4 linked regions of the Elephas maximus indicus genome follow. The protein of the gene in region 1 purifies or fractionates together with the protein of each later gene. This does not show direct contact. Links are inferred from orthologs where the notes say so. Each region holds a gene or a part of one and is shown in the gene's direction. Other genes may lie near its edges.

Evidence for each region.
Region 2: the proteins of ZNHIT2 (region 1) and ECD purify together in Homo sapiens (affinity purification with mass spectrometry; 3 studies listed by BioGRID and IntAct, counting the BioPlex papers as one, with this or other methods). This does not show direct contact. The link is inferred for Elephas maximus indicus from reciprocal best matches to the Homo sapiens genes ZNHIT2 and ECD.
Region 3: the proteins of ZNHIT2 (region 1) and TSSC4 purify together in Homo sapiens (affinity purification with mass spectrometry; 3 studies listed by BioGRID and IntAct, counting the BioPlex papers as one, with this or other methods). This does not show direct contact. The link is inferred for Elephas maximus indicus from reciprocal best matches to the Homo sapiens genes ZNHIT2 and TSSC4.
Region 4: the proteins of ZNHIT2 (region 1) and AAR2 purify together in Homo sapiens (affinity purification with mass spectrometry; 3 studies listed by BioGRID and IntAct, counting the BioPlex papers as one, with this or other methods). This does not show direct contact. The link is inferred for Elephas maximus indicus from reciprocal best matches to the Homo sapiens genes ZNHIT2 and AAR2.

What each region holds. Positions count from the first base shown.
Region 1 is NC_064825.1:128,276,459-128,283,311, reverse strand, and holds ZNHIT2 (zinc finger HIT domain-containing protein 2), read left to right. Parts: upstream 1-4,851; 5' UTR 4,852-5,035; coding exon 5,036-6,250; 3' UTR 6,251-6,346; downstream 6,347-6,853. Other genes in the region: MRPL49 (39S ribosomal protein L49, mitochondrial), read right to left, coding at 794-871; FAU ubiquitin-like and ribosomal protein S30, read left to right, coding at 1,404-1,478, 1,571-1,715, 2,187-2,242, 2,405-2,530; delta(14)-sterol reductase TM7SF2, read right to left, coding at 6,664-6,824. UniProt on the Homo sapiens protein: May act as a bridging factor mediating the interaction between the R2TP/Prefoldin-like (R2TP/PFDL) complex and U5 small nuclear ribonucleoprotein (U5 snRNP).
Region 2 is NC_064834.1:14,311,319-14,318,359, forward strand, and holds the start of ECD (protein ecdysoneless homolog), read left to right. Parts: upstream 1-4,032; 5' UTR 4,033-4,115; exon of another isoform or gene 4,116-4,281; intron 4,282-4,292; exon of another isoform or gene 4,293-4,446; intron 4,447-7,041. Other genes in the region: primary cilium assembly protein FAM149B1, read right to left, coding at 3,766-3,812. UniProt on the Homo sapiens protein: Regulator of p53/TP53 stability and function. Inhibits MDM2-mediated degradation of p53/TP53 possibly by cooperating in part with TXNIP. May be involved transcriptional regulation. In vitro has intrinsic transactivation activity enhanced by EP300.
Region 3 is NC_064825.1:135,486,218-135,493,955, reverse strand, and holds the start of TSSC4 (protein TSSC4), read left to right. Parts: upstream 1-4,722; 5' UTR 4,723-7,073; exon of another isoform or gene 7,074-7,081; intron 7,082-7,653; exon of another isoform or gene 7,654-7,738. Other genes in the region: CD81 antigen, read left to right, coding at 1,426-1,523, 2,279-2,353, 2,688-2,792, 3,196-3,297, 3,896-3,982, 4,051-4,113. UniProt on the Homo sapiens protein: Protein associated with the U5 snRNP, during its maturation and its post-splicing recycling and which is required for spliceosomal tri-snRNP complex assembly in the nucleus.
Region 4 is NC_064843.1:33,304,107-33,312,075, reverse strand, and holds the start of AAR2 (protein AAR2 homolog), read left to right. Parts: upstream 1-4,957; 5' UTR 4,958-5,014; intron 5,015-7,725; 5' UTR 7,726-7,781; coding exon 7,782-7,969. UniProt on the Homo sapiens protein: Component of the U5 snRNP complex that is required for spliceosome assembly and for pre-mRNA splicing.

The sequences.
Region 1 (6,853 bases):
TACAGGCATTGTTTTCACTTAATTCTTTCAACTCGGCAAGTAAGACATTTTATTACCCCTTTTTACATCCAAGAAAGATCAAGGCATTTAGAAAACAAAAACTAACACTACCTAAGGTGACACTAGGGAGTCCTGGTAGAGCAGTGGTTAAGCACTCGTTGCTAACCTAAATGTGAGTGGTTTGAACCCACCAGCAGCTCCTCGGGAGAAAGATACGGCAGTCGGCTTCCTTAAAGACGACAACCTTGGAAACACTATGGGCAAGTTCTACTCTGTCCTATAGGGTCGTTATGGGTCGGAATCGACCCGACTTAATGGCAATGATTTTGGTTTTGATTTTAAGGTCACACCCCAGAGTTCGTCCTCCCATCCTTTCAGCCCAAAGATCCTTTTGGATACTTCTCCCAACAGATACCCTGGAGTCCTGACAGGCCAGGGGGGTTACAACACAGCAGGGAAGCAGGATAAAGTGGCCTGTGTACCAAGAGCCGTAAGTTCCCAGAAGTGTCACTATTGATCTGGGGCCGGCTCCTACCCTATGGAACGGTTTCCCCTTCGAAAGCCTGGGCAGTTCTGACTAACCCGGTCTGCCCTCCTGCCTGGTTCCAGTCTCCACGCTCTCGAAGCCAAGCTCCAGGCCCCGTAACCTTCCTTCTCGATCCTGCACCTAAGTTCCAGTCAACTGTCCCCAGTCAGACAAGAAAACTAAGACCGTGAGGGTTGCTGCAATTTTAAGTTTACAATGAACAACAGTGAGCCTCACACCCAAACCTCCGCCCTCGGCCTCTCTCACCAGGTACCGTAGCCCGCAGCTCGGCTGGACGCCGGTTCTCCAGCCCCACAGGGCAGCCCGGAACAGGACCGCTGCCATCTTGGCCTGCCACCAACGCTAGCCTCCTGCGCGCGCAACTCGCCTGGCCCCGCCCCTTCCTGCGCGCGCAGCCTGGGACTGGAAAAATGCCTCAAGGGGGCGGGGCCAGGACCGCCCTGGGCAGCATAAACGCCAGGGTAACGCGGAGTCGCTCAGCAGTGACGTGACACGCAGCAGACGGTGAGGACGTGCGCGCCCTGGCTCCTTCCTCTTTTTCGGCTCCATCTTTGCCGTAGCGGCAGCAGGGGCAACATTTCAGGTAAGACTTGGGTCACGGCTGGATACAGAGGGCATAGTGGCGGGCTGGCTGCGAGTTTAGCGGGCGCGGGGGAAATGGAGGAACAGGGCTCCCCTGTGGGCCTGGCTCCGGGTCCCACCGGGCCTCCCCGGTAGGCCCGGCCTGCCCCACGTGAAGCCTCCGGCCACCTCCGTCCCGGCTCAGTCCTATGGGACCCGACACCCATTTCCCGACCCGCTCCCCTCTAGAGCGTGTTTTCCTTTTTTCTTACAATCTTATTTCTTAGTCGCCGTCATGCAGCTCTTCGTTCGCGCCCAGGAGTTACACACCCTCGAGGTGACTGGCCAGGAGACAGTCGCCCACATCAAGGTAAGGCTGTGTGATTTTTCCTGGACTCAGTATTTGTGCTCCTCGCATCCACCCGCCGCGGGAACACTTACGAACCTCATTTTTCCCTGTAGGCTCATGTAGCGTCGCTGGAGGGCATCTCCCCGGAAGATCAGGTCGTTCTTCTGGCAGGCACACCCCTAGAGGATGAGGCCACCCTGGGCCATTGTGGAGTGGAGGCCCTGACCACTCTCGAAATAGCTGGCCGCATGCTTGGAGGTGAGTTGGGGAGGAGTGGCTGTTGAACTACCTGTAAGCTGTTAATGGGCATTGAGTGTGTAGTTCTTGAAGCTTAGTGTCATTTTTGTGGCAACGTAGATGGTGTCATTTCTAGTGAGTATTCCTGTTTGCCTCCCTTAATTGAAACAGTAGAGAGGTTCACGGGAGACGGAGCCAGAGTGTAGTTTTAGGTCAATCACTTATCAGAGCTTTGTCTGAATCTCAATTTTCCCACGAAAATCAGGTCAGACCAGATTTCTAAGCCACCTTCCGGTTCACCTTTAAAATCAGGGGCTGGGAAATTCTGACATGAAACCCCAGAATGTGCCACATCAGCACATCTTTGGTCAGAGATCAAATTTCTACACTGTCCTTATTTTCTTTGGGCCCAGCTTGCTGCTTAAGGCCTGGGTTGAGGGAGGAGGAGTTCTTGCTCTCCTAATTGTTTGCCGTCTGTGTTTTCCATCACAGGCAAAGTCCATGGCTCTCTGGCTCGTGCTGGGAAAGTGAGAGGTCAGACTCCCAAGGTAAGTAAGAGTGTCCTTTGGGGTTTGTTGTCTGCTGTCACGGCTAAGCCAAGGCCTTTGACTCTTGCCCTGTGTGCCTTCTCTCTCCGGGAAGATGAGGCCAAGGAAAAGGGTTCCTCAGAAGATGTCAACCAGGGTCTGATCAGTCCTCTCCTTTTATAGGTGGCTAAACAGGAGAAGAAAAAGAAGAAGACTGGTCGGGCCAAGCGGCGGATGCAGTACAACCGGCGCTTTGTCAATGTTGTACCCACCTTTGGCAAGAAGAAGGGCCCTAATGCCAATTCTTAAGTCCTTTATAATCGTGGCCTGCTCTAATAAAGCCCTTTAGCCCAGCAATGTCATTGCTTTATCTTCATTTGCAGGGCCTCAGGGGAGGCATGGTTCCTAGGGCTAGTTGGTGGTGCGTCTTCTAGCAGAGCAGTGAGGCCTTGTTTCTTGGAGGTGTTGAGTTAGGAAAAGGTAGAAGCTCTTGGTCTGGTGAAAAGAAGTGATAAACTGCAAGAGAAAGCTTTGTGTGAGGAGCAGTAACCACAACTGTCAGCCCTTCAGATGTAGAGCTGGGAAACCCCAGATCCCACATAATTTAGTAATTCTTCCAAGCACTGGTTTCTTTCTATTTTTAACAGAGAAGGAATCATTGTGGTGGGAGGTGTGTTAAGAGGCAGCAGCGGAGGGTAGAAAATTGGGAAACACTGATCTGGCCTTTCCTTGAAGTTGAGTTCAGCTGTGGGCTTGGTAGAGTCCAAGGAGGAAGCTAGTCTGCCTCAGCTTTGGAAAGCTTGGTATTTTGCTTGATGCCACTGGCACCCTGGCGATGGGTGCTCTTGTTTGAGCCTCTGATTGGCTCACTGGCGTAGCTAATCTACTCAGCCGTCTTTGGGTAGCTGACTATTTCAGTGTTCCAGAAGCGGAGCTCCTTTGGGGCTGAATCAGGGTTCCCTCTGGCAGCTGAGGCTCCAGTGCATCAGTACCCACTCGTTCGTTCAGCTACGTTTTTGAATCTGCTGACTCTTGGGTTACAGCATACCAGGATACGATGGTGACTTTGGACTCTGGATTTGGACTGCCTGAGTGATTCTGGCTCTACTTCCTGTCTGACCTTGAACCAACTACACATTTAATCTCTCCAGAGTTGCTGTGAGGATTAAATAAAAGATGTAAAGTGCTTAGATCAGTACCTAGTATAGTATAAGTGCAAATATTGGCTATTTTTGTCTTTAGTGATTAAGATTTAAAAAAAAAAAAGATTCTCTGCCATCTAGGACCTTAGATTCTTGTGGAGAAAATGGCAACAAAATAGACGTTAATAGTCTCAAAGAAAGTAAGCAGTCTGCTACGATGAAATGAAAGGTATCTCTAGAGAAGGTCTCTGAAGATGGGATGTGTGAGCCAATCAAGTGATGAAATGGGGAAAGAGTTGCAGCCAAGAGAACCCTGCAAAGGCAGGGACAAGTGATGTCTGGGAGAGGGTGGCTAACCCTGCAGGGCCTTGTCAGTCAGAGGAGTCTGGCATTCAACTGCAGTAGGAGGCCATGGGGAACGGTTCCAGGCAAGGGACTGATGTGATCTGAGTTGTGATCTATTATTTTTTCTGATTTCCTGAAGGGCTTGCAAGAGAGTTAAGAAACCAGGTAAGGGGTTGACATCCAAGTGAAGGGGCAGCTTAGACCTCCAGTGGACTTGGTGTTGAAATAGATGACCCATATCCTGATAAATGCCAGTTCTTTTGGAGACAACTGGTGAGTGGGATCGGGTGTGCGGTAAGAGAGGAGAGGACCAGGATTCACTATTAGGCACGCCATGGGTCAGGTCTTCCAGCGCTTGGCAGAGTTCTTGGCAGTTCATCACCCCGACTCCCCTGTAAGCTCCATTACGACAGGAGCCCCATCTCATTTTGCTCCCCATTGTATTCTTGCTGCCCAGTATGGATGGCATTTAATAACCACAGCTGGGTGAACGACTGTGATATTCAATGAGAAGACAAAAGACGACGCAAGTTTAGAGAAAATCAAACGAGCTCAGACGTTTGTTAAATGTTGCTTTTTGCTAAAGAAGGGAGATGCCCCCAACGCATTCAGGCTGGGCTCAGGTGCCCCATCTGGGCCTGTCCTCTAGAACTGCCCCTTTGTATGCCTTAGAGTGGCCGCATCTCATCTTAATCTCCCATAGGCCTGGCACAATTAATGGCCCAGAGTAGATGCTTAGCAAAGCTTGGTTTTGGCCACAGCACTTTATAGGATTACGAGGGTAACCAAAAAAATCAAAACCATCGCCATTGAGTTGATTCCGAATCATAGCGACCCTAAGGGACAGAGAAGAACTGCTCCAATACGGTTTCCAAGGAGCGGCTGGTGGATTTGAACTACCGACCTTTTGGTTAGCCTTCGCTCTTAACTACTGAACCACCAGGGCTCCATTACAAGGGTAAAATAATTTGTATTTTTAGGCAATTTGGGGGCCACGTTTCGGCGCAACCACTAGGTGGCGAACTGGCAGCTGCGAATCCCGCCGAGCGTGTTTTCCTCTCCAAGCATTGCCGTAAAGGGCGGGGCTCCTCTGGGGCCCCGGGCGGGGCTCGTACGGTACGCCCGGCTTCTGCGCTTGCCCAAACGCCGCCAGAGCGAGGGGTGCGGGTTGGCTCCCGAGTGTGGGCGGGAATTGCCGAGAGTCCTCGGGTGAGCTTTGGCTAAGCGCTCCCTCGCCCCCGCAGAAGCGGAAGTAACCGAAGAAGCGCCGGAAGTTACCGAGCTATCGCCCTTGTGCGCTCACCTGTGGGTCGTGGCGCCAGTTGCCATGGAGCCGGCCGGGCCCTGTGGCTTCTGCCCAGTAGGGGAGGCTCAGCCAGCGCGCTACACCTGCCCGCGCTGTAATGTGCCCTACTGTTCGCTGCGCTGCTACCGGGCACATGGCACCTGCGCCGAAGACTTCTACCGCGACCAGGTGCTGGGCGAGCTCCGCGGCCGCACCGCCTCGCCCAGCCGCCTGGCAAGCGCCCTACGCCGCCTGCGCCAGCAACGCGAGACCGAGGATGAGCCCGAGGAAGTAGGCCTCAGCCCTGGGCCGGCGCCTGGCGGCCTCTCAGGTCTCTGGGAGCGGCTGACCCCGGCGGAGAAGGCGGCCTTCGAGCGGTTGCTGAGCCGGGGCGAGGCCGGGCGGCTGCTGCCCCCGTGGCAGCCGTGGTGGTGGGCCCGCGGGGCCGAGCCGCGGCTTCTGGAGGAGCTGGATGACGCGCCCGGCAGTGACGCCGCGGAGCTGGGGCCCGCTCTGGCGAGGACCCCGCCGGAGTCCGCGAAGGATGCTGCCACCGCCGCGGAGCCCGAGGCCGCTGAGCCTGTTCTCAAAGACGCATCCGGGGCGGGGGCGCCCTCCGTTCCCGCCCGCATCCCCGCGCTGGCCACCCTGAGCCGCGGCCCGGCCTCGCCGCTCGTGCGCTTCCAGTTGCCCAATGTGCTGTTCGCCTACGCGCACGCCCTCGCCCTCTATCACGGCGGCGACGATGCGCTGCTCTCCGACTTCTGTGCCACGCTGCTCGGCGTTTCTGGGGCCCTGGGCGTCCAGCAAGTCTTCGCCTCTGCAGAGGAAGCCCTGCTGGCGGCAGTCCACGTGCTGGAGGCGGGTGAGCACCCGCCCGGGCCCCTGGGCACACGCGGAGCCATGCATGAGGCCACCCGCATCCTGCTGGGCGAGGGCCCGGCCAACCAGAAGGGTTACACGCTGGCAGCACTAGGGCACCTGGCACAGCTTCTGGGCCGGGCCCGGAAACGGGCCATGGCTGCGGAAGAGCGGGATCGCCTGTACCGGGCACGGAAGAAGTGCCAGTTCCTGCTGGCCTGGACCAACGAAAATGAGGCGGCCCTCACACCCCTAGCCCTAGACTGCGCCAGGGCTCACCGAGCCCATGCCTTGGCAGCCGAGGAGATGACAGCCCTCACCGGGGAGATGGAGCGCCTCTGGGGAGGCCCCATGCCACCTGCTCCGAGGACTCTCATTGAGGAGCTCCCTGGTTGAACTGAAGACCTTTTGTCGTTAATAAAGCTGTGACAGGTCTGCCCTGTTGCCCCGCCTAACTCTACACTTTTGGACCCACAAACCACATCAGTCTTTCCCTAATCAAAGCTGAGCCAGCCAGTTGTAAACACCCCAGCCCCAGGATGGGAAAGAAGCCACACCGAGGGTTCCAGACATTTATCTAAAGTGGAAGAGCAGTCCTGTCCCCGCTGCTCTGTCTTTTGGGCACTGGCTCCGTTTTTTTCCTTGCTCCAAACCAACTCTTCTCTGAGGCTGTTTGTCCCCACCTCCCCTGGCTACTGATGGAGCTCAGAGAGGTGCAGGCCTTTGAGTCCAGGTGTGTCCAGGCTCTTGATGCTGGGTGTGCTGGTGGATGGTGGGCACGTGCCCTGACCTGGAGTAGGTGTGCCACCTCAGTAGATGTAGGGCACTATGCGGTAGGGCACACACTGGCAGTACTCACGCCAGGCCAGGCCGTACTTCTGCAAGCACTGCCGCTCGTCACGCGCCTCCCGGTGCACCAGCAGCGCCGTAAAGTAGAGGAGGTAGAAGTAGGGCAGCAAGTGGGAAGCCCCTGTAGAGAGGGTGGGCTCTGTGACCACC
Region 2 (7,041 bases), on another chromosome or scaffold:
ATGAGCAATGTCATGATAAATGGAGAAAAGATTGAAGTTGTCAATGATTTCATTTTACTTGGATCCACAATCAACACCCACGGGAGCAGCAGTCAAGAAATTACTGCATTGGGCAAATCTGCTGCAAAAGACCTCCTTAAGGTGTTAAAAAGAAAAGATGTCACTTTAAGGACTAAGTTGTGCCTGACGCAAGCCATGGTGCCTTCAATCGCCTCATATACATGCAAGAGCTGGACAATGAATAAGAAGACCAAAGAAGAATTGACGCCTCTGAGTTATGGTGTTGGTGAAGAATGTCGACTATAGCATGGACTGCCAAAAGAACAAACAAATCTGTCTTGGGAGAAGTACAGCCAGAATACTCTTTAGAATCGAGGATGGCAAGACTTCATCTCACATACTTTGGACATGTTACCAAGCAAGATGTCCCTGGAGAAGTACATCATGCTTGGTAAAGATGACGGTCATCAAAAAAGAGGAAGACCCTCAATGAGATGGACTGACACAGTGGCTGCAACAAAAGGCACAAGCATAACAATGATTGTGAGGATGGCGTATAACTGGGCAGTGTCTCATTCTGTTGTACACAGAATCGCCATGAGTCAGAACCAATTTGACGGCACCTAACAACTTTTTTTTTCCATTTGGTAGTTTATCTTACTCTCAGGATACCAAAATCAAACTCATTGCTGTTGACTTGATTTCAACTCATAGTGACTCTATAGGACAGAGTAGAACTGCCCCAAAGGGCTTCCAAGGATGTAATCTTTACGGAAGCCAACTGCCACCTTTTTCTGCCAAGTAGCGGGCAGGTTCCAGCAACTGACCTTCCTGTTAGCAGCAGAGCACTTAAGCACTGCTCCACCAGGGCTCCTCCACCCTCAGAATAGTGGGAATTAATTACAAAAACAGACGTTTTTTAGCTAAGCCCTGTTCACTTTATTGGGAAATGATTACTTCTCCCTAGTTTCTAAAGAACTTACTATTTGAATTGCTACTGTATGCATATCCTATTGCTTAATAAGTTTCTGAAAGGCAAGGAGGAATCTTGTCTTAGATTGTCTTTATTTAGTATTGTAGTTAGTAAAGGTGAGTGAGGATAAGGATATGGCCATTTATGGTCCAGCCCTGTGTCATCACTTTACATAGACTTTGCTATGAAATAGGTATTACTTCTATGTTACAGAAATCAAGGCTTGGCGATTTAGTAATGTGCCTAAAAGTCACACAGATAGAAAATAGCCTAGCCAGAAAGCCAGGTGTGACTCAAAGTACCATGTTCGTGATTACTATGTACAGTTAGTATTTAATTAATAAATGTATTACTTAGCACAGTGAAGAAAAAAAATGGATTTAGAGTTAAAAAGGCCAAGTTCAAATCCTAACTCTACTGGCTACATAACCTTGATTATATTTTCTCACAGTTTAGGAGGATAGAAGTCCAAATTCATGGTGCCAGCTCTAGGAGAAAGCCTTCTCCCTCTGTTGACTCTGGAGGAAGGTCCTTCTCTCTTCTGAGCTTCTACTCTTGGGCAATCTTCATGTGGCCTGGCATCTCTCTTCCCCTATCTTGGCTTGCTAGCTTGCATTTAATCTCTTTTATATCTCAAAAGAGAAGGACTCAAGATACACCCTACGCTAACCAGTTCATTAATATAACAAAGACAACCAATTCCCAAATGGGACTATAACCACCGGCATACAGGTTAGAATTTACAACATATATTTTGTGGGGGGACAGAATTCAATCCATAACAAGTTGTATGTTGTTGTTGTTGTTAGGTGCCATTGAGTTGGTTCCGACTCATAGCGACCCTATGCACAACAGAACGAAACACTGCCCGGTCCTGAGCCATCCTTACAAGCATTGTTATGCTTGAGCTCATTGTTGCAGCCACTGTGCCAATCCACCTCGTTGAGGGTCTTCCTCTTTTCCGCTGACCCTGTACTTTGCCAAGCATGATGTCCTTCTCCAGGGGCTGATTCCTCCTGACAACATGTCCAAAGTATGTAAGACGCAGTCTTGCCATCCTTGCCTCTAAGGAGCATTCTGGCTGTACTTCTTCTAAGACAGATTTGTTCGTTCTTTTGGCAGTCCATGGTATATCCAATATTCTTCGCCCACACCACAATTCAAAGGTGTCAATTCTTCTTTGGTCTTCCTTATTCATTGTCCAACTTTCACATGTATATGATGCAACTGAAAATACCATGGCTTGGGTCAGGCGCACCTTAGTCTTCAGGGTGACATCTTTGCTTTTCAACACTTTGAAGAGGTCCTTTGCAGCAGATTTACCCAATGCAATGCGTCTTTTGATTTCTTGACTGCTGCTTCCATGGCTGTTGATTGTGGATCCAAGTAAAATGAAATCCTTGACAACTTCAGTCTTTTCTCCGTTTATCGTCATGTTGCTCATTGGTCCAGTTGTGGAGACTTTTGTTTTATGTTGAGGTGTAATCCATACTGAAGGCTGTGGTCTTTCATCTTCATTAGTAAGTGCTTCAAGTCCTCTTCACTTTCAGCAAGCAAGGTTGTGTCATCTGCATAACGCAGGTTGTTAATGAGTCTTCCTCCAATCCTGATGCCCCATTCTTCTTCATATAGTCCAGCTTCTCATATTATCTGCTCAGCATACAGATCGAATAGGTATGGTGAAAGAATACAACCCTGACACACACCTTTCCTGATTTTAAGCCAATCAGTATCCCCTTGTTCTGTCCGAACAACTGCCTCTTGATCTATGTAAAGGTTCCTCATGAGTACAATTAAGTGTTCTGGAATTCCCATTCTTCACAATGTTATCCATAGTTTGTTATGATCCACACAGTCAAATGCCTTTGCATAGTCAACAAAACACAGGTGAACATCTTTCTGGTATTCTCTGCTTTCAGCCAGGATCCATCTGACATCAGCAATGATATCCCTGGTTCCACATCCTCTTCTGAAACCAGCCTGAATTTCTGGCAGTTCCCTGTTGATATATTAACTTTTCTAATACATACCGTCTTCTGAAAATATGAAGATAATTGTACCTGTCTTACAGAGTTGTTATGAAAATCAAAACTTGAAAGTTCTTCTGAAAGTGTAAAACATTAATAAGTATATTACCAATACTTGCTAAGTTACAACACTTCACTTGGAGTGGGATGTAAGTCAGAAATATTTGTTCTCTAAAGCATAAAAGCAGCTTAACTTCAGAAGTGAGGGAGCAAGATGTTTAATGGTTATGACCACAGGCTTCAGAATCTGATGGACACCAGGCTGTACCTCAGCTCCTGACACTTGTTGCCTGTATCTTTGGCAGACTAAAATCTTTAAATCTGGGATCTTTATCTATAAAAAATATATGTAGAGAGAGAGAATGTGCAAAATAATAGTCTCTATATCCTTGTAGAGAGGATTAAGCGACCAAATGCGTGTAAACAGATTAGCACGGTGCCTGGCAAAATTCTATTGCAGCACTCAGTTATTGATAACTTCTCGAGCTGTCAATGGCCACTGACAGTGGGGCCTGAAGGGCTGAGGAAACCACAAAGGCCTTAGGGTCCCGGTCCCAAGAGAGCCAAGTCCAAGGACAGACAGCACAGGTGACAACCCTCAGCTGGAGCTCGAGGTAGGAGGGTCAGCGCAAGGCCGGGAGGCGAGAAAATGTCCTTACCCCCGCCCTGGGCAAGGAAAGGACTGGTCAGAGAGGGGCCCCGGAGCGCCCGCGGCCGGCGTCGGCCTCCCCGGGCCCGGTGGAGGTGGCTGAGCAGTCGACTCACAGTTCCAAGCTCTGTGGCGCCGCCTTCCGAGTGTACCTGGAGATCATCCTCCTCTTCTTCAGCCGCGCCCGGGGCGGGCACGCCAGGGTGGGGGCCTCCGGGCCTGGCCCTCCCGCCGGCTCCGGCCCGGCCCCCTCCCGCCACCTTCCGCCCCCGTCTCGCCCCGTCGCCCCCCAAGACCGCCCCCTTTCCAGTTCACCGCCCTCCCGTCTTCCCGCGGGGGGCGGAAGTGACGAACGAGTCAGGGCACCTGCCAAATGCTCCCGTCGACGTGCGGCGGTGACAAGGCTCGGCGGTTCCGGAGGCTGAGAGGGTTTGTGACTGTCTCCTAGACCGTCCACTGGCCTCAGGTACTAGACGGGCTTTGGGACGGAGATCGGACCCGGCGTTGGCAGCTGGTGGCGCTGCAAAACGCAGACTTCGCCGTAGCAGCTTCTGAACGGTGTTCTCACGCGGTGGGAGGAGCGGCGGAGGAACGGTGCATCAGCAAAGAGGCGCCCGAGAGGGCGTGGAGCCGTAAGAGGCATTAACTCGGTTTTGTCGGGTGGCGGGAGGGATCCTCCTGGTTCCGGCGGCAGAAAGCCCTGAGCTCTATTAGTGCCTTTCCTTTCTTTGCTTCCGTTTTTCTCATCTGTATGGTGTGGAGTTAGCCTGGGTGATCTTAAAACCCCTTATAATAAGGTACGCTTGGCGTAAGGGGGTAGAGGTAAGGTGGGTGGAATTATTACCTGTCCTTCTGGGTTGAAAGGCAAAATGACTTGGACAGACTATGTTGAGTGGATGTCTGGATAAAAGGTGCAGGTTGCTGTCGACCTCCTCTCATTAGTCGTTAGTGAAGTATAATCACTGAATCGCGGCATTAGGGTGGTCCATCCTGTGTAGTGCCTTACTTTAACAAGCATCTCCCCTTGGAAGTGCGGAGTGTCACTGCTTTCACCTACTTCATGATGTAGTGCTTGTTTGTGAATTTTTCTAACCACACTTTGAACCTGTATTTTCCCTCTACCCCTTTGGGAAATAATGAGTTCCAGAGGTATGTTAGTACTTTCATTTGTAACTGAAACCTTAGAAAACCTTAGAAAATAGGTATCTACCACCTCTTGCACCAACCACTAATGCCAAAGATGAAGAAATAGAAGATTTTTACTAACTTTTGCAGTCTGAAATTGATCAAATACGCAGTCAAGTTGCGTTGATAATTACTGATGATTGAATGCGAAAGTTGGAAACAAAAAAGGCTCGGTAGCTGGAAAATATGGCCAAGGCAATAGAATGGATGCCAGAGAGTGCATGATAGAATTTTTGAAGAGCGGTGACTTTTTTTTTCCAACATAAATGGCGACTATACGTGTGGACCTCACCAGATGGAATACACAGGAATCAAATAGACTACATCTTCAGAAAGAGGTGATGAAGAAGCTGAATATCATCACTCAGAACAAGGCCAGGGGCCAACTGTGCAACAGACCATCAGTTGCTCATATGCAAGTTCAAGATGACGCTGAAGAAAATTAAAACAAGTCCAGAAGAACTAAATTACAACCTTGAGTATGTCCCACCTGAATTTAGAGACCATCTCAAGAATAGATTTGATACATTGAACACTAATGACTGAATATCAGACAAGTTGTAAGGTAACATCGAGGCCATCATACATAAAGAAAGAAAAAAACAAAACCCATTGCCATCAAGTCAATTCTGACTCAAAGTGATTGTATAGGACAAAGTAGAACTGGCCCATAGGGTTCCAAAGAATGGCTGGTGGATTTGAACTGCCAACCTTTTGGTTAGCAGCCAAGCTCTTAACCAGTGCGCCATCAGGGCTCCTAAAGAAAGCAAAAGGTCATTAAAAAGACAAGAAAGAAAGAAAAAAACAAAATGGATGTCAAAGAGACTCTGCAACTTGCTGTTCAATATAGAGTACCTGAAGCGAATGGAAGAAATGATCATGTAAAATAGCTGAACGGAAGACTTCAGAGGGTAGCTCAGGAAGACAAAATAAAGTATAATAATGAAATGTGCAAAGACCTGGAGTTAGAAAACAAGAAGGGAAGAACATGCTCGGTATTTTTCAAGCTGAAAGAACCAATGGAGAAATTCACGCGTTGGGCTGCAGTATTGAAGGATTCTGTGGGGAAAGTGTAGAACGACACAGTAAACATCAAAAGAAAATGGAAGAAATACACAGTCACCATACTAGAAAAATTGGTTGACGATGAGCCATTTCAGGAAGTAGCATATGGTTAAGAAATGATGATGATATTGAGGGAAGAAGTTCAAGCTACACTAAAGGCATTGGCAAAAAACAAGGCTGCAGGAATTGACGAAATACCAATTGAGATGTTTCAACAAACTGATGCAGTGCTGGAAGTGCTCACTCATCTATGCCAAGAAATTTGGAAGACAGCTACCTGGCATCAGACTGGAAGAGATTCATATTTGTGCCCATTCCAAAGAAAGGTGAGCTAACAGAGTGTGGAAATTACCAAACAATATCACTGATAGCATATGCAAGTAAAATTTTGCTGAAGATAGTTCAAACACAGGAAACTGCCAGAAATTCAAGCTGGGTTCAGAAGAGGATATGGAATGAGGGATGTCATTGCTGATATCAGGTGGATCCTGGCTGAAAGCAGGGAATACCAGAAAGGTGTTTACCTGTGTTTTATTGACTATGCAAAGGCATTCAACTGTGTGGATCATAACAAATTATGGATAACATTGTGAAGAATGAGAATTCCGGAACACTTCATTGTACTGATGCAGATCCTGTGCATAGACCAAGAGTGAGTCGTTGGAACAGAACAAGAGGATACCGTGTGGTTTAAATTTGGGAAAGGTGTGCGTCAAAGTTGTATCCTTTCACCATACCTCTTCAACCTATATCATGAGCAGATAAACCCAAAAGCTGGACTATATGAAGAGGAGCAGGGCATCAGGATTGGAAGAAGACTCATTAACAACCTGCGTTTGCCCAGATGACACAACCTTGCTGACAGTGGAGAGGACTTGAAGCACTCATTGATGAAGATCAAAGACCACAGCCTTTAGTATTGATTATACCTCAATATAAAACAAAAATCCTCACAACTGGACCGATAAGCAACATCATGATAAACAGAGAAAAGACTGAAGTGTTCAAGCATTTCACTTTACTTGGATCCACAGTCAACGCTGTGGAAACAGCAGTCACGAAATCAAATGACGTATTGCACTGGGGGCATCTGCTGCAAAAGACCTGCACAGCAACTTAACAACAACAACACCCACCTCTCA
Region 3 (7,738 bases), about 7.2 Mb from region 1:
TGGGCCTCGGTGCTCATCTGTCAGGTGGACCCTTATCAGTAGGGAGACCCCGCCCCACCCCCAGTCTCTGGGCAGCCCATAGCTCTGCACTGGCTCCCGGGCCTGGCTGGCACAGGGCATTAAGGGCGGACAGAGAAGGCCTGGACAGCAGGTCCTGGGAGGGTCTTTAGCATGCCTCCCCCCTCCCCCCGCCCAGACTCCCAGCCCTCCTTCAGGCTATGCACCTCACCTGCCTTCTGGACCCGACTCCCAGCCTGCTACGACCTCCCCCACCTGTTGGTGTGACCTCTCAGGGCCTGGACCCCACATGAATCAGCTGTAGAGGCTGGACCCCCCAGTTGGGGGTACTCAGAGCCCCTCTGGCCCAGGATCCTGCCCAGTGCCGGAGGGCCCTGCAGGGGGTGGGGAGCAGATGGGATCCCTGACAAGGGCTCTTTGTTCTCTGCTGGGAGGTGGGGCTGGCTGGCAGGGTGAGCTTGCCCCCGCCACCTTCCCCAGGGGGCAGGGCCAGACTGAATCTCAGTGTCGTCCTCGGGCTTCCGACTGGAGCCTGGGGGCTCTGGGGGGCTGTCAGTAGGATCTGCCAGTGGAGCCTCAGGAGGGGCCTTGAGTGGCCCCTTGACCAACCTGAGTCTCCCAGAGACCCTGAGGAGGGGGCCTCTAGTCCCCTGGTAGGACCCAAGAAAGCCAAGACCCCCTGGTGTGCATGGTTTCTGGCTGCCCCGGGTCACCCTGGTGAACCTCCCCTAGTGATGTGGTGGCGGGGGCCAGGGGTCTTCGCGTCACCTCACATGTGGAGCTGGTGCAGGGCCAAGGACAGGAGAGCCTGACGGAGGGGCTGAGTCTTCTCCCCTCTGCAGAGTGCCAACAGGAAATGGCCGGCCAGATTGGGGGAAGACTGAGGTGGCCCAGGGTCGGCCTTTTCTGGGCCTGGTGGTGGACAATAGACCCCGTCCCACCGAGGGTGACGTGAGCTGCTGCCAGTGTTGCTGTGACCACTGCAGACAATCCGAGCCTGTTGGGCTGATCTCGGGGGGCGGTCACTGGGGAGATGCAGTCAGCACCTCCCGGGGCAGTGAGCTGGCGTGGGGGTCAGTGGGTGGGCACTGAGGTAGGCAGGTCTTCACGTACATACTGTGGACAGGAACAAGTTCAGTCTGTCCCGTGGTGGCCTGTGTGGTCCTCAACAGGTGGCCCTGCCCCTCTCATAGAAAACAGGCAGGAGAGGACGCCCACATGCCTGGGCAGAACCAGCACCAGGTCCTCACTGCTCTGCCCATCCGCTTCCTCCCCCTTCCTGCAGGGGCCGGGGGCTGTGGGACCCCGGCATTGGAGAGTGCTGTGCACAGAAGGTCTGGGGGGGCCTGGGAGGGCATGAGGGCAGAGCAGCGAGGTGCTGTGATATAACCACCCCCCGACCCCCAGGCATCTACATCCTCATCGCTGTGGGCGCTGTGATGATGTTTGTGGGTTTCCTGGGCTGCTATGGGGCCATCCAGGAGTCACAGTGCCTGCTGGGAACGGTAAGGTGGGGTCCCTGCTGGTCCTGGGCTGGAGGGGGAGGCACCCGGGAGGAGGTGGCCCTGGTAGAGCTCAGGCACGTCCGCCCCCTCCCTCCCCTCCCCTCACCTGGTGGAGGGGCTGGCCGGCTCTGAACTTTCCAGTTGGCTCTTAGATAAACCATTATCTCTTTATCCTGATTCTAAGCCCCAAAGTGGCTCTCTCTTCCTTTGTTTAAGAAAAGCCACAAACACAACAGGGAGAGAGTCCCCGCCCTGCTCCCCTCTGGCCTGGTGGCCCCTTTCCCCTTGGCCGGGTAGGGGGTGAGGCTGGCAGTGTGCTGGGGAGCCTGTACCAGTGTCTCCGCTAGGGGAGACTGAGGCATGACGTGGCAGCCCCTCTGTGTTGGGGCTCACTAGGCACGCTTGCTCTCGTGCCCACCAGGTGGTGCGGTGGAGGGGCCTGGGGAGCACACCGCCCCCACCCACCATCAGAGCTCTGGAATCGGGGGTTGGGAGGATGCGGCTCTGGCATCTTGTTCCTGGGCTGAGTCCTAGGTTTTGCTCATGACTAGGCCTCATGGCTCACGCCGCCTGGGACACGGTGATTTGGTGATTACCCCCGCCTCCCATCCTGCTGGTCACTTGGGTGGCTGCATCTCGAAAAGGCAAACCCCATGCTGCCTGGTGGCCTGGGGCCCCAGGAAGAGCCCCCAGACTAACTTACTGCTTCCTCTGCCCACTCCCTCCTCCCATCCCGCCCTCATGCGGCCCCCCAGTTCTTCACCTGCCTGGTGATCCTGTTTGCCTGTGAAGTGGCTGCCGGCATCTGGGGCTTTGTCAACAAGGACCAGGTGAGCCAGGCCCACCAGGTGAGGTCCTCATCCCAACCTGGGGATGCTGGGGGGAGGAATGGCCCCTGTTCAGAGTGTGGGGGATGGTCCAGCCTCACCCACAGATGGCGGGTGTACCTTGGGGCTCCCCCCCGTTATGTTAGTAAGGTCCAGGAGGGCTTCCTGGAAGCAGCGACACTGGGCCTGAGCTGGGGCCAGCTAAGATAGGACCCCCCCCCCCGCCATGTATCTTGGGGACCCCGCCTTCCTAAGGTGTGTCAGGTGAGCACACTTGTCCACCTGAGGAGGTAGGCTCTGCTCTGGTGACCCCCTAGCCTGCTTGTCCTCCCTGCAGATCGCCAAGGACGTGAAGCAGTTTTACGACCAGGCCCTGCAGCAGGCCGTGCTGGACGATGAAGCCAGCAATGCCAAGGCCGTGGTGAAGACCTTCCATGAGACGGTGCGGCTGCTGGGGGTCTGAGGGGGTGGGTATGGGACCCATGGGGCTTGCAGGGCTGGGCTGTATGGGTGCACATGGGCCCCAGGAGCTCTAATCTTCCAGGGGTAGGGGCAGGGGCAGCCTGGGCGTTTTCCTCTGTGGGCCTTGGGGAGGCTGCTCCTCTCTGTCCTCTAGGTCCCTGGGTGGGAGTGGGTAAGCCAGGTCTCTGAGCAGCACACTGCAGGTGGCCATCTCGGGGCTCAGTTACCTTAGGAGGAGCAGAACAAGCCTGTGGGGTGGCCGCAGCCCGGCAGGATGCACTGTGGGGTGGGAGTGGGGACACTCTTCTGTGGCCATCCGGGCCCCTGGCCAGTGCTCCTCAAGCCCCCTGCCAGCCTGACTAAAGCTGCCCTGTTCTCTGCAGCTGAACTGCTGTGGTTCCAATACACTGACCACACTGGCCACTTCGCTGACCAAGAACAGCCTGTGTCCCTCAGGCAGCACCTTCCTCAGCAACGTCTTCAAGGTGTGCAGTGGTGGCCGGGGCTTGGGGCTTGCCATGGGGTGGAGCTGGGCAATGGTGGGCACGCATAGGGCAGGTTGTGCCCATCCTGGGGCCATGGCCAGCAGGGAGAGGACCACTCTGCCGGGGCCGGGCTTGCTGGGGTCACAGAACTGACCGAAGAGGGGCACCATCGCTTGCAGTCCAGGTGAGGTTGTCTGAGGCCCAGGGTGTCGAGTGGCCTGGTGGGATTGGTGTTTGGCTGCCCATGCTTGTGGTTGAGGCCGGAGGTGGCCCTTGGGGGCCTCAGCAACCTGTGGTAGCACTCAGCTATGCGGAAGTGATTTGAACCAAGTGTCCTTGGCCTGGGGATCTACTTTTGAAAAACCAGCCACTGAAAACCCTGTGGAGCACAGTTCCAATCTGACACACAGGTCGTCACCGTGCATCGGAGTGGATGCCACAGTAACCAGTTAAGAGCTAACCTGTGCTGAGAGTGCCGGCTGGCCAGGGTGGGCTGGGAGAGCCATGGTACCAGGTCCTCTGTGCGTTTTCTGTGTTGCCTGACTGTCACGCGAAACTTGAGGGGGACCCTGAGCCCGCCTGCTGTCTGTCCTTGCAGGAGGACTGCCACCAGAAGATCGACGACCTCTTTTCTGGGAAGCTGTACCTGATTGGTATCGCAGCCATCGTGGTCGCCGTGATCATGGTGAGCTGGGGCCTCGGGGGGTGGTGCCCAGCACCTGTGCCATGCCTCACGTCCCCTCTCCCCCGCAGATCTTCGAGATGATCCTAAGCATGGTCCTGTGCTGTGGAATCCGCAACAGCCCTGTATACTGAGGCTGGAAGCGGCCGGCCATGTGCACAGCGTCCCCGGAGGCGGCCAGCCGTGTGCACAGCGTCCCCGGTATTACTCTGTGCCGTGTACATAGCGTCCCCGGTATTGCTCTGTGCACTCAGCCTTTTCGTTTCCCAGGTCTCCTTTTTGTTCTCAAGCCCTTGCCACCTTTCCAGGGCTGGTGGCCCTCGTGGGTGACGTGGGAGTGGACCGGCGGCCTGGGGTTGCAGGGCAGGGCCCGTGAGGCTCCTCTGCTCTGAGGACCAGGGAGGGAGCCTGCCTGGCCCTGGGGCCTGACCCTGCAAGCTGAGGGGCCGCAGCCCTGCCCCACCCGTCAGCCCGCACCTTTTGTAGCCCTGACTCCCCCTCCTCTGACTGTTTCTAGAGCAGCGTTTGAGCTCTTAGCTCCACGGCAGCGCTCCTTTCTAACATGTCACCCCCAGCTGTAATTACGTCATCTCCAGTCACAACAGTCACTCAGTAAAGAAGGAAAAACCAGGCATGCTAGCACGGCTCAGACTCCCTTCCTGGGCCACACGGGGGTGGGCAGTGGGCCCGGGAGCACGCCACAGGGATGTGCCCCCTCGGTAGGCCGTAGCGCCCCTCCTTCCTTGCACCGAGCCTGGGCAGAGTGCCCCGAGTGGGGGCAGCGGGGAGATGTGGCGGAGGATGTGTGCCCCACTCCTGCGGGGCACCCTCCTCACCATTTCTGACGCCGCCCAGGCCTTGGGTTTCCGCCCATCCTGTGAGTGCCTCAGCTGTGGCCATGCCAGGCCCACTGTCTGGCTGGGCTATGAAGGGTTTGGTGGACACCAGGACTGCTGGTTCTTCCCCTTCCTTCCTTCCTTCCTTCCCGCCCATTTGGGTGCTTGTGAACCTTTGTTGGAGGAGCCAGTGGCTAGGGCAGGTCTGGTTTGGGAAGGGCTCAGCAGCCAATGGGGGAACCCAGTGAAGTGGCCCACCAGGGTGCGCTGGGACCCACCTGGATCTCTACCCTTAGTCCAAGCTCTTCTAGTCGGTGAGCATTATGCAGACCCACCTGGCTAGCCACCGCCCATCCCGGCACGGAGAGCTTTGGGATGGGACTTCTCCTCGGACAGGCTGCTTTGTCAGGGATGCTGGGCAACATCACCTGGAGTTAGGGTGGCACCCACCTGCGCACACGCTAAACTAACCCCTTGTGACAGCCCAGCAGTCTCCTTGGACTGGCTCTGGAACTCAACCCCAGCCCTGCACGGGGAGGTTAAAGGGTCTCAGAGGGCCTGCACCTTGCACACCTGGGCTGTAGGGTTCAGGTACAGGAAGGTCCATGGAGTCCATCCTCTCTGCTTCTGCTGTGCTGTGGGGCCCACAGGTACATCCGCCCAAGGCTGCAGCGCAGGGGCCTGGAGCCTGCCTTCTGCATGGCAGTGACCCACAGTGGGTTCCTGGTGAGGCTGGGGGTGGGGGGAGGTGGAGTGTTACGAGGTGACCCGAGGTTTACTGGAGACCAGGGGCTGAGGTAGGGGCCCAGCTTCCCCTCTTTGTGCTTCTGGGCTGGGCAGCTCCTTGAACCCTTGGTTTCCCAGCAGAGGCACCTCAAGAATGTGGGACAGGTGCCCCCATAGAGAAGGGGCAAAAGCACCGCCCACCTACAAGCCTGGGGGCCGAGAGAGAAGTGGCTGAGCTAGAGAACCTGGGACCTCGTCCTCCCTTACCAGGCAGGGAGGCGTGACCTGCCTTAGGCCAGTGAGAAGGACTAGGCTGTCAGCTCCCAAGCCTGCTGCTGCCCTCTGGTGCCTGCTCTTGGAGCACATACTTTCCCCGGGGCCCACCAGTCCTGGCTGACTTGGAAGTGGAGGGAGCGAAGCACTCGGTTCCCCTCCTCTCCTTGCCCAGCCCTCCCAGGCCTCATGGGCTCCGGCTCCCAGTGGGTCAGTGGCACCCAGGGCCCCCGGATGGGCGCTGACCCTGGAAGGATGTAGTCAGGGCAGAGGCAGCCTTGGCTTCCCCACCCAGGGGTGCTCCCTCCAAGCCTCCTCCTAAGCCACACCTCTCCACGACCACAGCAGTGGCCTCGGGAGACGGGGGGGCCACCATTAGTGCCTCCCCATCTCAGGTACGGCGCACACAATGGTTAGGGCACACGGGGAGGGAACAGCTGTGTCCTTGTCCCTGGGGAAACACCCTAGAGGTAAATCACAGCCCTGTCCCTGGGCAGGGCCCAGGAAGGTCCCCAGGGAGCAGGTACGAAGTGTTGCCATGGGGACTAGGGGAGAGGCTGGCGCGCCTGCAGCCCCCACGTGCGCGGAGCCCCGTTTCCAAGATGCCCCCTCAGCCCTCATAGGTCGAGACCCTGGTCTTGACCTGGGGCTGCGTGACTGCGGGGGCCCGCCTGGAGAATCTGGGGACTCCGGTGGGGCGGGGTGGGGCCGGCCGCTGGGACGCTGCAGGGGCGCCTTGGTCGGCACTGACCGACAGATGGAAGGAAAGGCAACGCATTGCTTCCGGCCAGGGCCGGAAGTGCCCGGGGAGTGGCTATGTGTCCTTGGAGCGCCAGAACCCGCTTCCGGCCTGAGGCCGCCGCAGTCCTCGGGGGTGCCGGCAGGTGGCGCTGGGCCCCGGGAACCCAGCACTGGCCGCTGGCTTTCAAGCATTCTGGGAGCTGCATCCGGGGGCCTCCCTCCCTTTTCTCCTTAGCCATTTCCGGTTTTTTTTTTTTTTTCAAATAAGCCCTGGGGCCTCCGGGCTATCATAAGCCAGCCCCTAGTGCAGGGGAGTGGCGATCTGGCTGAGACACATGCCCGCACAGGCCTACATGTCCCGGCAGGCCTCGGGAGCAGGGACCCAGTGCCTCGTGGGAGTTGTAGTTCTCTGCATGCAGAGGCGGCGGCCCCTGGCCGGCGGAGGACTCGGTTTCCCAGAGGGCCGAGCGCGGCGTCCCGGCAGGCGGCGCGACCAAGATGGAGGCATCCGGGCAACGGTGAGCTGGTAGGTTTGGGGTCGGGGAGGCCTTCGGGTGGCCGCTAGCCGCAGCCTGCATCCCGGTACCCAGCCCGACGTCTCGGTTTCCCCCGTCTTTTCGTGGCCTGGCCCTCGGGACCCCGAGCCTTCTGAGGCCTGGACCCGGGGCCCATCCCCCCGGCCCTGGCACGCGAGGATCTTTGATTGGTTCCCCGCCGCCGAGAGCTTATTGAGTGTCAGGCACAGGGCGAGGCGCTGGGCGCGTAGAGCGGTGTAAGGCCAGGCTCTGCCTTCAAGGCGGAGACAGACAAGCAGGAAGGAACCGATGCTCCCGGTCCCTGGGACCTGGTCTGCGCTGATCCGGGCCTGGGACACCCCCGCGCCTCAGCTCCGCCGGGACCCAGCTCTGCCCTCCGCTGAGCCCCTGAAGGAACCCGAGGCCTTGAGTCCAAGAAGCGACTCCCGGGCCTCCTAGTTCCCTATCGTGGGGCCCGGTCACTGTGTCCCCCACGCACCCGCTGCGTGCCCCACGGAACAGGCTGCTTAGTGACTTAAGGTGGTGCAGGGTAGAGTGCGAATTCGGAAAGCAACAGGTTCGTTGGAATTCTAGCTTCGACTTGGGCAAATTATATCCGCTCTGGCCCTGCTAGCTCTAAAACCCTCTCTCTCCTGAAGTCGTCCCTT
Region 4 (7,969 bases), on another chromosome or scaffold:
ACTTCAGGGTAGGGACGAGGTAACCAGGGTTTGGGAAGCTTTCATCCTACGAGTTCTGTGACCTTCCTTCCACAGAGAGGCAGGTAGCGCCACCAGAGGAGAGGAGTGGCAAAGCCAAATCTAGGGCACTGTTTCCTTCCCATCCTCCTCTTCAGAGAGAACATAGACACTTGTCTGTCTTCAACCTACTTTTCCTTTTTTGTCTTTTACGCTTCTCATCCTTTCTGTACTGCCTCTCCACCCAGGAGGCTAAGTGGAAAAATCCCCCGTGGGCAGTAAGGAGTGGCCATCCTGGCTCAGCCTCTAACTCACCTTGTGACATCGGACCAACCGCTTCCTGTTTTTAGGCCTCAGTTTCCCCACTCACAAAATGAGCAAGTTGAACCAGATGCTCACCAGGGGCTTTTCCCACTCTGCCATCCTCCAGATCGTCATTTTCTCTTACTTTGCTTTCTCGGGATCTTTTCCATTGGGAGGGTATAAGAAGTGCCAGGACCTGTTTCAGTTTTTTAATCCTGCAACCACATTCCAAGACTGGCCTGAAATTGCATGAGCAACATCATTCTAAATAATTTTTTTTTTCAAAAGCACCTTACCAACCAACTGCGATGCTGTCCTGTTCCTTTACTCACACCCCTCTCTCCTCTCTCGTCCCAGCGCTCCCCCACCTCAGTGCTCTGTGCTGTATGCGTGTGCTCTCTGTTCTTGTATACTCAATAAAAGTGAAATAAATGTGTTTGATGCTGAACCACAAACTGCCTTGTCATCTCTATCTCTGACTTTGGCTATTGGTGCAAGGTGGCATAGTGGGAAGGGCTAAAACTAAGATGGAGACATCCAAACTTAGAACACTTTGATTCAGCACATACTTAGAGCTCTCAGTGTGTTCCAGGTCTTGGGTTAGTCTCTGCAGATACGACAGCAAATAAGTCGAAGTTGCTGGCCTCCAGGAACTCACAGGCTAGTGGAGGAAATAGCAAAACACAGAAGCTGTTTCGTCAAAGGAAGTTACAGGGTGCTCAGCACTTGGAGGGCAATACACAGGGGAGGGGATAGGTCACTACAGGAGGACACTTTAGGTGGTCAGAGACGGCCTACCTGAGGAGGTGATTTTTGTCCTGAATGAAGAGAAAATCCAGTGATGTGAAGAACTTGGGTAAGAGCATTCTAGGCATTGGGAACAATAAAAGCGTAGGTTCCAAGACATGGAGGGGCTTGGTGTGTGAAGGAACAGTGTGGTCCTGCTTCTCTTCCTCAAAGAAGAGCACCTACACTGAAGTCACTTCCTGCAACGCCCCCCCCCCCCACACACACAGGCAGCTCCTTCTAGGATGCCTGGTGAGTAACGTACACTGGAACCCTCAACGTCAGTCTTTGCCTACCACCTTCACATAGGTTATCATAGCCCTGTGTCACCTGTTCCATTATTGACTTATCTTTTTTCTTTAAATTGGCTCATTTCAAAATCAAGTTTATTTAAAAAGGAAAATATATTATTTCCACAAATGGAAAACTAGTATCACTTGCCAAAGAAAGGTACCAAACCAAGTCCATTGCTGTTGAGTCGATTCCAACTCATAGCAACCCTATATAGGACAGTAGAACTGCGATATAGGGTTTCCAAGGAGCACCTGGTGGATTCAAACTGCTTACTTTTTGGTTAGCAGCCGTAGCTCTTAACCACTATGCCACCAGGGTTTCCAAAGAAAGATAGTCCTCATAAAAATACTGAAAAATCATAATCCATGTAAAACCTGAACTTGTCTCTTGGACCACACGTGTTTTTTCAGAGTTGAAGTCACATTGTGAATACCACTCTAAATGCTTCTTTTGCTTATATTCTGAGTATTTCCCCATAATGCCAAATACTAGATGCTATTTCATTTCTTTGAAAAGGTAGTTCATTAAATCACACAAAAGGCTATGCAGGATTCTCTTCTCCAGAATCACCCTCCCCTCCTCCATGGCTGGAGACAATTGCTGCTAGGAGCTTTGTGAACCCTTCCCTGCATTTTCCCTGTAGGTTTCCTTTAGCTCTCTGTCACCCCCTGAGGTTCTGGAACAGAATTGGGTTCACAAACATGGGGTCACCACAAAATTCTTCAGGACCCCACACACTCTGTATCTGTATCTCTGTCTTCCATTAATACAGAGCCGGCCTCTGTGCTCATTGGGAATAATCTGAAGCAGGTTCATGTAGATCAGTGGTTCTCCACTGGGGGAAGGGAGGCGATTTTGCCCCCCAGGGAATATTTGAAAATGTCTGGAGGCAGTTTTGGTTGTCATGACTGAAGGGTGCTACTGGCATGTGGGGGTAGAGGCCAGGGATGCTGCTAAACATCTTAAAAGGCACAGGACAGCCTCCCACAGCAAGGAATTATGTGGCCCCAAATGTCAATAGTGCTGAGGTTGAGAAACCGTGATCTATCTAGATGGACATGCTCCCCACAGGGTGGGATTCTGAGGTCACTGTCTACAGCTTCAGTGTTGAGTACCCTGGAGTTTCTGAGAAGATGCTGAGCCCACCTGGAACAGAGAGCTTTGATACCAGATCACAGAATTCAGTGTCTAAGACTGGGAGCTGTGTGTGAAGGAAGGGAGCTAAGCTTCTTCATGCGGGAAATGGAACTGACATGACAGGCTGAGATTGATACCATGACTGTGACTGATGGAGGCTGTCTCTGGTTAATCCTGCAGCAGCTCATGGTGATTAACCATGGCTGCAGGGCTCAGTCTAGTCTTCGACCCACTAAGGGATGGATTTTGACTGAGACAGATTGGTGTGGCCAGCTGTCACTAAGAAAGCGCGACAGGTAAGCGAAGGAGCAGCAGCACCGAGACAAGAACAGCTAGTCAAACCTTGGCTTGCATCGTAGCTTTGTAACCTCTCTGAACCTCATTTTTCTCTTCTGTAAATTGGGACTACTAACACTGACTTACTAGGATAAAGATTGTTGTTGTTAGATGCCATCGAGTTGATTCTGACTCATAGTGACTCCATGTGACAGAGTAGAACTGCTCCCCTAAGGTTTTCTTGGCTGTAATCTTACAGAAGCAGATCACCAGGTCTTTCTCCTGAAAAGCCACTGGGTGAGTTTGGACTGCCAACCTTTTGGTTAGCAGCTGAGCACTTAATCATTGTGCCACCAGGGTTCCTTCCCATAAAGATTACAGCCTAGAAAACCCTATGGGGCAGTTCTGCTCTGTCACATGGAGTCCCTATGAGTTAAAATCCACTCAGTGACACCTAACAACAACAGGGTAGTGTAGGGATTAGAAATAATATCTGAGCAGTGGGATGAACTGGGCAATACTCTGCCCCACACATACACCCTGTTCCCTGTGGTATGCTAGAGTGGGTGGTTGTGGGCTTTGTTGAATGCTGTTTGGTTCAAGTTTATTTTACTCTGAGCAGATGAATTTTTGAGGAGGAAGCGGAAACCTAGAAAAAGTAGATGGGTGGGTGGGAGTGGGGAGAAAATAGTGTACAACGTAGCTAGCTGCTCTAGGGAAACTCTCAGGAAAGGGTAAATATATTGATAGGAGAATGAAGGGGACATTTTGCTGTGTGGGATTCTTCAACTTTCCCTGAAATTGCAAGTAAAACTGACATTTTTCCACGCTTTGAAGTCATATTTGGGCTTTGTGGGATGCAATAGTGTGCTAAAACTGATTTCAAGGTGGATATAGGGTGAGAACAAGTTTGGCTCAAGCCAACTCGATTGCATATGTGTTACAGTGGATAAAGTCTGAGTTACAGGGATAAGATCGACTTCCCAGGATGGTTGTAGGGATTAGATAATATATGTACACCACTGTGATGGGTTTTTTGTGATGTGTAAACTTGGCTAGGCTACAGGCCCCAGTTATTCAATCAAATACTAATCTAGGCGTTGTCGTGAAGTTATTTGGTAAATGTGATCGGAGTCCATAATCAGTTCACTTTAAGTAAGGGAGATTATCCTAGATAATCAGGCAGGCTTGAGACAATCAGTTGAAAGGCCTTAAAAACAGAGCTGAGGCTTCCCTGAAGAAGAAATCCAGCCTGTGGATGGCATCTTTGGCATGTGCCAGAGGGTTCCACCCTGCCCTTGCTGATAGCCTGCTCTTCATGATGGCCTGCCCTACAGATTTCAGATTTAGCCTAGCCAGTCCTCACAACAGGAGAAGCAAATTTCTCCCAGTAAATTTCTTAATGTATATCTCCTACTGGCTCTGTTTCTCTGGTAGATCCCTGAATGATGCAGCCACCTAGCAGAGGGCTAGACCCACAAATGGAAGCCATTTATTAACACCAAATTACTGTTATTATTAATTAAATACATAATATATGTACCCAGCTGAGCCTTCGTGGCTCTGTGCTAAGCCTCAGGAAAACAATGGAGAACAAGACAGGCAGGTAACCTCCCTCAGGACACCTTGATAGCCTGCCTGAGATATCAGACTAGGCCTGTGCTGCCAGAGGACGCTGGGTGATTATGGCTGGAGGGACTGACTGGGTGATTTCTCCAACTGCTGAGACTGGTTTTCCTTGGGCTGGAAGCTGGGTTTCTGAGGCTCTCCTTTAGGCCTGAGTGTGGATGGTAACTGAGATTGGGTGGTAACAGGCCAGCTGTGACGCTGTGACTCGGAGAAAGACTGGCTGACCAGGACCACAGATCGGCTAACTAGGACTGTGACTGAGCACCCCTGTGACTACTGGGCAACCATGACCATGACCCCGTTTCAACGACCTTGACTTCTTGAGAACCAGGGACTATGGCTGGTGCGTTTTGGGAGGGGGATATAAAATGCACAGTTTAGTGAAAGTTCTTAATCTACAATTTAGGAAGAAAAACGAGTAGCTAAGAGTAGCAAAAAACATTTGATGGGGCGGAACCTGCAAGCAGGCACCGTTTTTCCATCACCGAGAACTCCACCGGGCCGCTTTCTCCGTTGCTCCGGTCCGTCACCGAAGCGAGCGAACTTCCGGTGCGCTTCCGCGGTGCGGGAGCTTGGGGCGAGGCGGGAGCTGGTGAGTGCGGCTTCCTGGCTTCTTTTCCTTCCTCTGCTTTCGTTGTCTGCGGGCGCGGGGCATCCCCTCTTCCCGACCCGGGGACCGCGGAGTGCCCTGAACTAAGCCCACCTCTCCGGGGCGGCAGCCTCCCGGGCTGTGGGACGCTGGGGTCTCCGAGGTCTTTTTACCTGAGTAGCCGTCTTTAGAGACGCGGTCCGCCAGGGCTTCCTGGGGCGCACGGGTTAGCTCCGCTTTCCTCCTGGCTTTAGAGTTCGGGGGCCGGAGATCTTGACTGCGCCTGGCCTGGCTCTGCCCGGCTCTGTGTGTGACTTCGGGAAAGGTTGTTCCCCGCACCGAGCCCTGGTTTTTTGTCCGCTAAATAGAGATCATAGTTTTATTAAACGTTTATCAAGCGTCTGATGTGTGCTAGGGATACAGGGAACAAAAGGACTCGTAGGAGTGACAGCGCTCTATCAAACAACCGTGAGAAGTGAAATGGAGAGGTAGAGGTGCCCTGAGTGTCTGTCACAGGATACCTGACCTAGCCGCGGGGTCACGGAGGTCTTTACTGAGGAGGTGATTATAGAGCTGAGATCCGAAAAGAGGAGAGGGAAGAGCATTTTGCTCTCTTGTTTGAGAGCCTGAAAGAGGCCAGTGTAGCTGGAACAGAGAGCTTGAGGGGAAAGTGGTATGAAAGGAAGCTGGGGAGGTTGCCAGGAGCCAGAGTGTGAAGGCTTTGTAGTTCATGCTGAGAATTTCGCTTTCCCAAGAACTGCTTGGGAAGCCACTCCGAGGGTTTTAAATGTGGGTGGTGATATGATCAGATTGGCATTTTGAAAAGGTCACTCAGGGTGTTGTATGGAAAATGGATTGAAGGGGCGAGCACTCTCAGGGTGAGAGATGATGGTGGCTTAGTGGTGATGAGGGAGCTGGTGGAGGGAAGTGAATAGAAATGATTTTCTGTGTTCCAGGGCTGAGAGGAGCTCACAGGGCTGTCAGTGAGATTGATTGGTAGGCTGTAGAGTTCTGTGCATATTCAGTGAACCTTTCGCAGCACCTCCTCTGTGCCAGGCCATGTGCTGGCTGCTGCAGATATGGAGAGTTACAGGCTGGTGGAATTAGAATGAAAGAAATTGTCATTGTCAAGGAGGAACACACAGATGTCACAAGGTGAAATGGGTAATTAATTGATCAGCAGTTTTTCTAAGTGAGCTATATGTTCATTCAACAAATATTTATTAAGTGCCTTTTATAAAAGGGTAGGGGATAGAAAAATGAAGATGCAAATTATTTAGAACAGTCACTTTCAAACTTTTTTGATTGTGACCTACAGTAACATAAATTTTATGTTGCAACCAACTGTACACACACACACACGGAACTTCAGAAAACAAGTACTTCTCACTACTTTTGATGGATGCTGATCTTTTTTTTTATTCTGTTCTTTTCATTAAAAGAAAATGTTGGTTGGGACGCTCTAAATTGATATCATAACCCCTTAATGGGTTGTGAGCTGCAGTTTGAAAAATAGGCAGATTTAGAGAGAGTTATTTGTAGTGGGTTTTGAGTTAAGAAGGTAGGATATGCCCTTGATGTTTGTAGAAAAGAGTTGGTCTTCTTTTCCCCACTGTATTTTGTTTTGTTTGTTTTAAGGGGGAAAAAGAGTAAACAGGATTAAACAGGCAGCTTGTTCTGTTTGAAATTTTAGGATCTTGGTTATACATCCAGCTAAATTTTAAGTACCTCGAGGGCAGTGACTGTCTTACTCTGTGGATGTTTCCTTTTAGTGTTCAGCAAAGATCCTGGTACAGTGCAGCGCTCAGTGAACATTTGTTGAATAGATAGGTGTCTTGGGACTAGATGGTTAGATAATTGTTTGGTTTAAATTAGCTCATGCTGGAGCTTACAGAGGTTTTATCAATATGTCCTTGTGGATAGTTCAAAGGTAGATAATATAAGCGTTCTAAGCCCTCTTTCTTGTGAACATTGATCCTAGGCTAGCCTCACCACTTGAATCCATTCTGGGCAAGTAATCCAGAGCTGCCACTGACTGGTCCTTTTGGGAAGGTGTTTCACTCCCTGGACTTTAGGGTTTTTTTTTTAAAAAAATGAGTAAAAGGAGAAGGGGGAGTTTGTGATTGAAAAGTTGTCCACTCCTCAAACCTTTTGTGGATTTTAGATGCTGTGTACCCACTTTACATAGTGTCTTCATTGTTAACCTTCTATCAATTTCTGGGCCTTCCCAGAGGTTTGTGGAAAACTGGGTATGTGCTTGATTTAATCAGCCTTTCCGACTTTCCTGGGACTCTCCAGCAATAGGTTTTAGGCGGAGTTCTAGTTTGGAACAGCCTCTGTTGTGAGAGAGAGCTCTGAGAGTTGATCTTAGGAGTGAGCAGGGAGAAGAACACTGGCCTGGAGGGCAGGCCACCCAGGTTCTAATTGGGATCCTTGTGCGACCATGAGTATATCACTTCTCTTTGACCTATGTCTTTCTAGCTGTGAAGTGAGTGTTCTTGCTCATTTAACCAAAACACAAAAAGCCTCTTCTCTCTGAGCCTCCTTTTCTCATCTGTCAAATGGGACTCATGATTCTGGCCTGCGGGATTGTGGTGAGGATTACAGGAGATTATTATGTCAGGGATCTGCTTCAATGTCTGGCACAGAGACTGCCTGGCAAATGCAGCTTCCTTCCCCAAGTTGTATTTAACGCCGATTTCTTTCTTTTTCAGCTGTTCTGGAAGACAAGGAAGAAAGATTTTCCTTTTGGGCACCCACCACTGGCCTCATGGCTGCCATGCAGATGGATCCTGAGCTTGCCAAGCGCCTCTTCTTTGAAGGGGCCACTGTGATTATCCTGAACATGCCCAAGGGGACAGAGTTTGGCATTGACTACAACTCCTGGGAGGTGGGGCCCAAGTTCCGGGGCGTGAAGATGATCCCGCCAGGCATCCACTTCCTCCACTACAGCTCTGT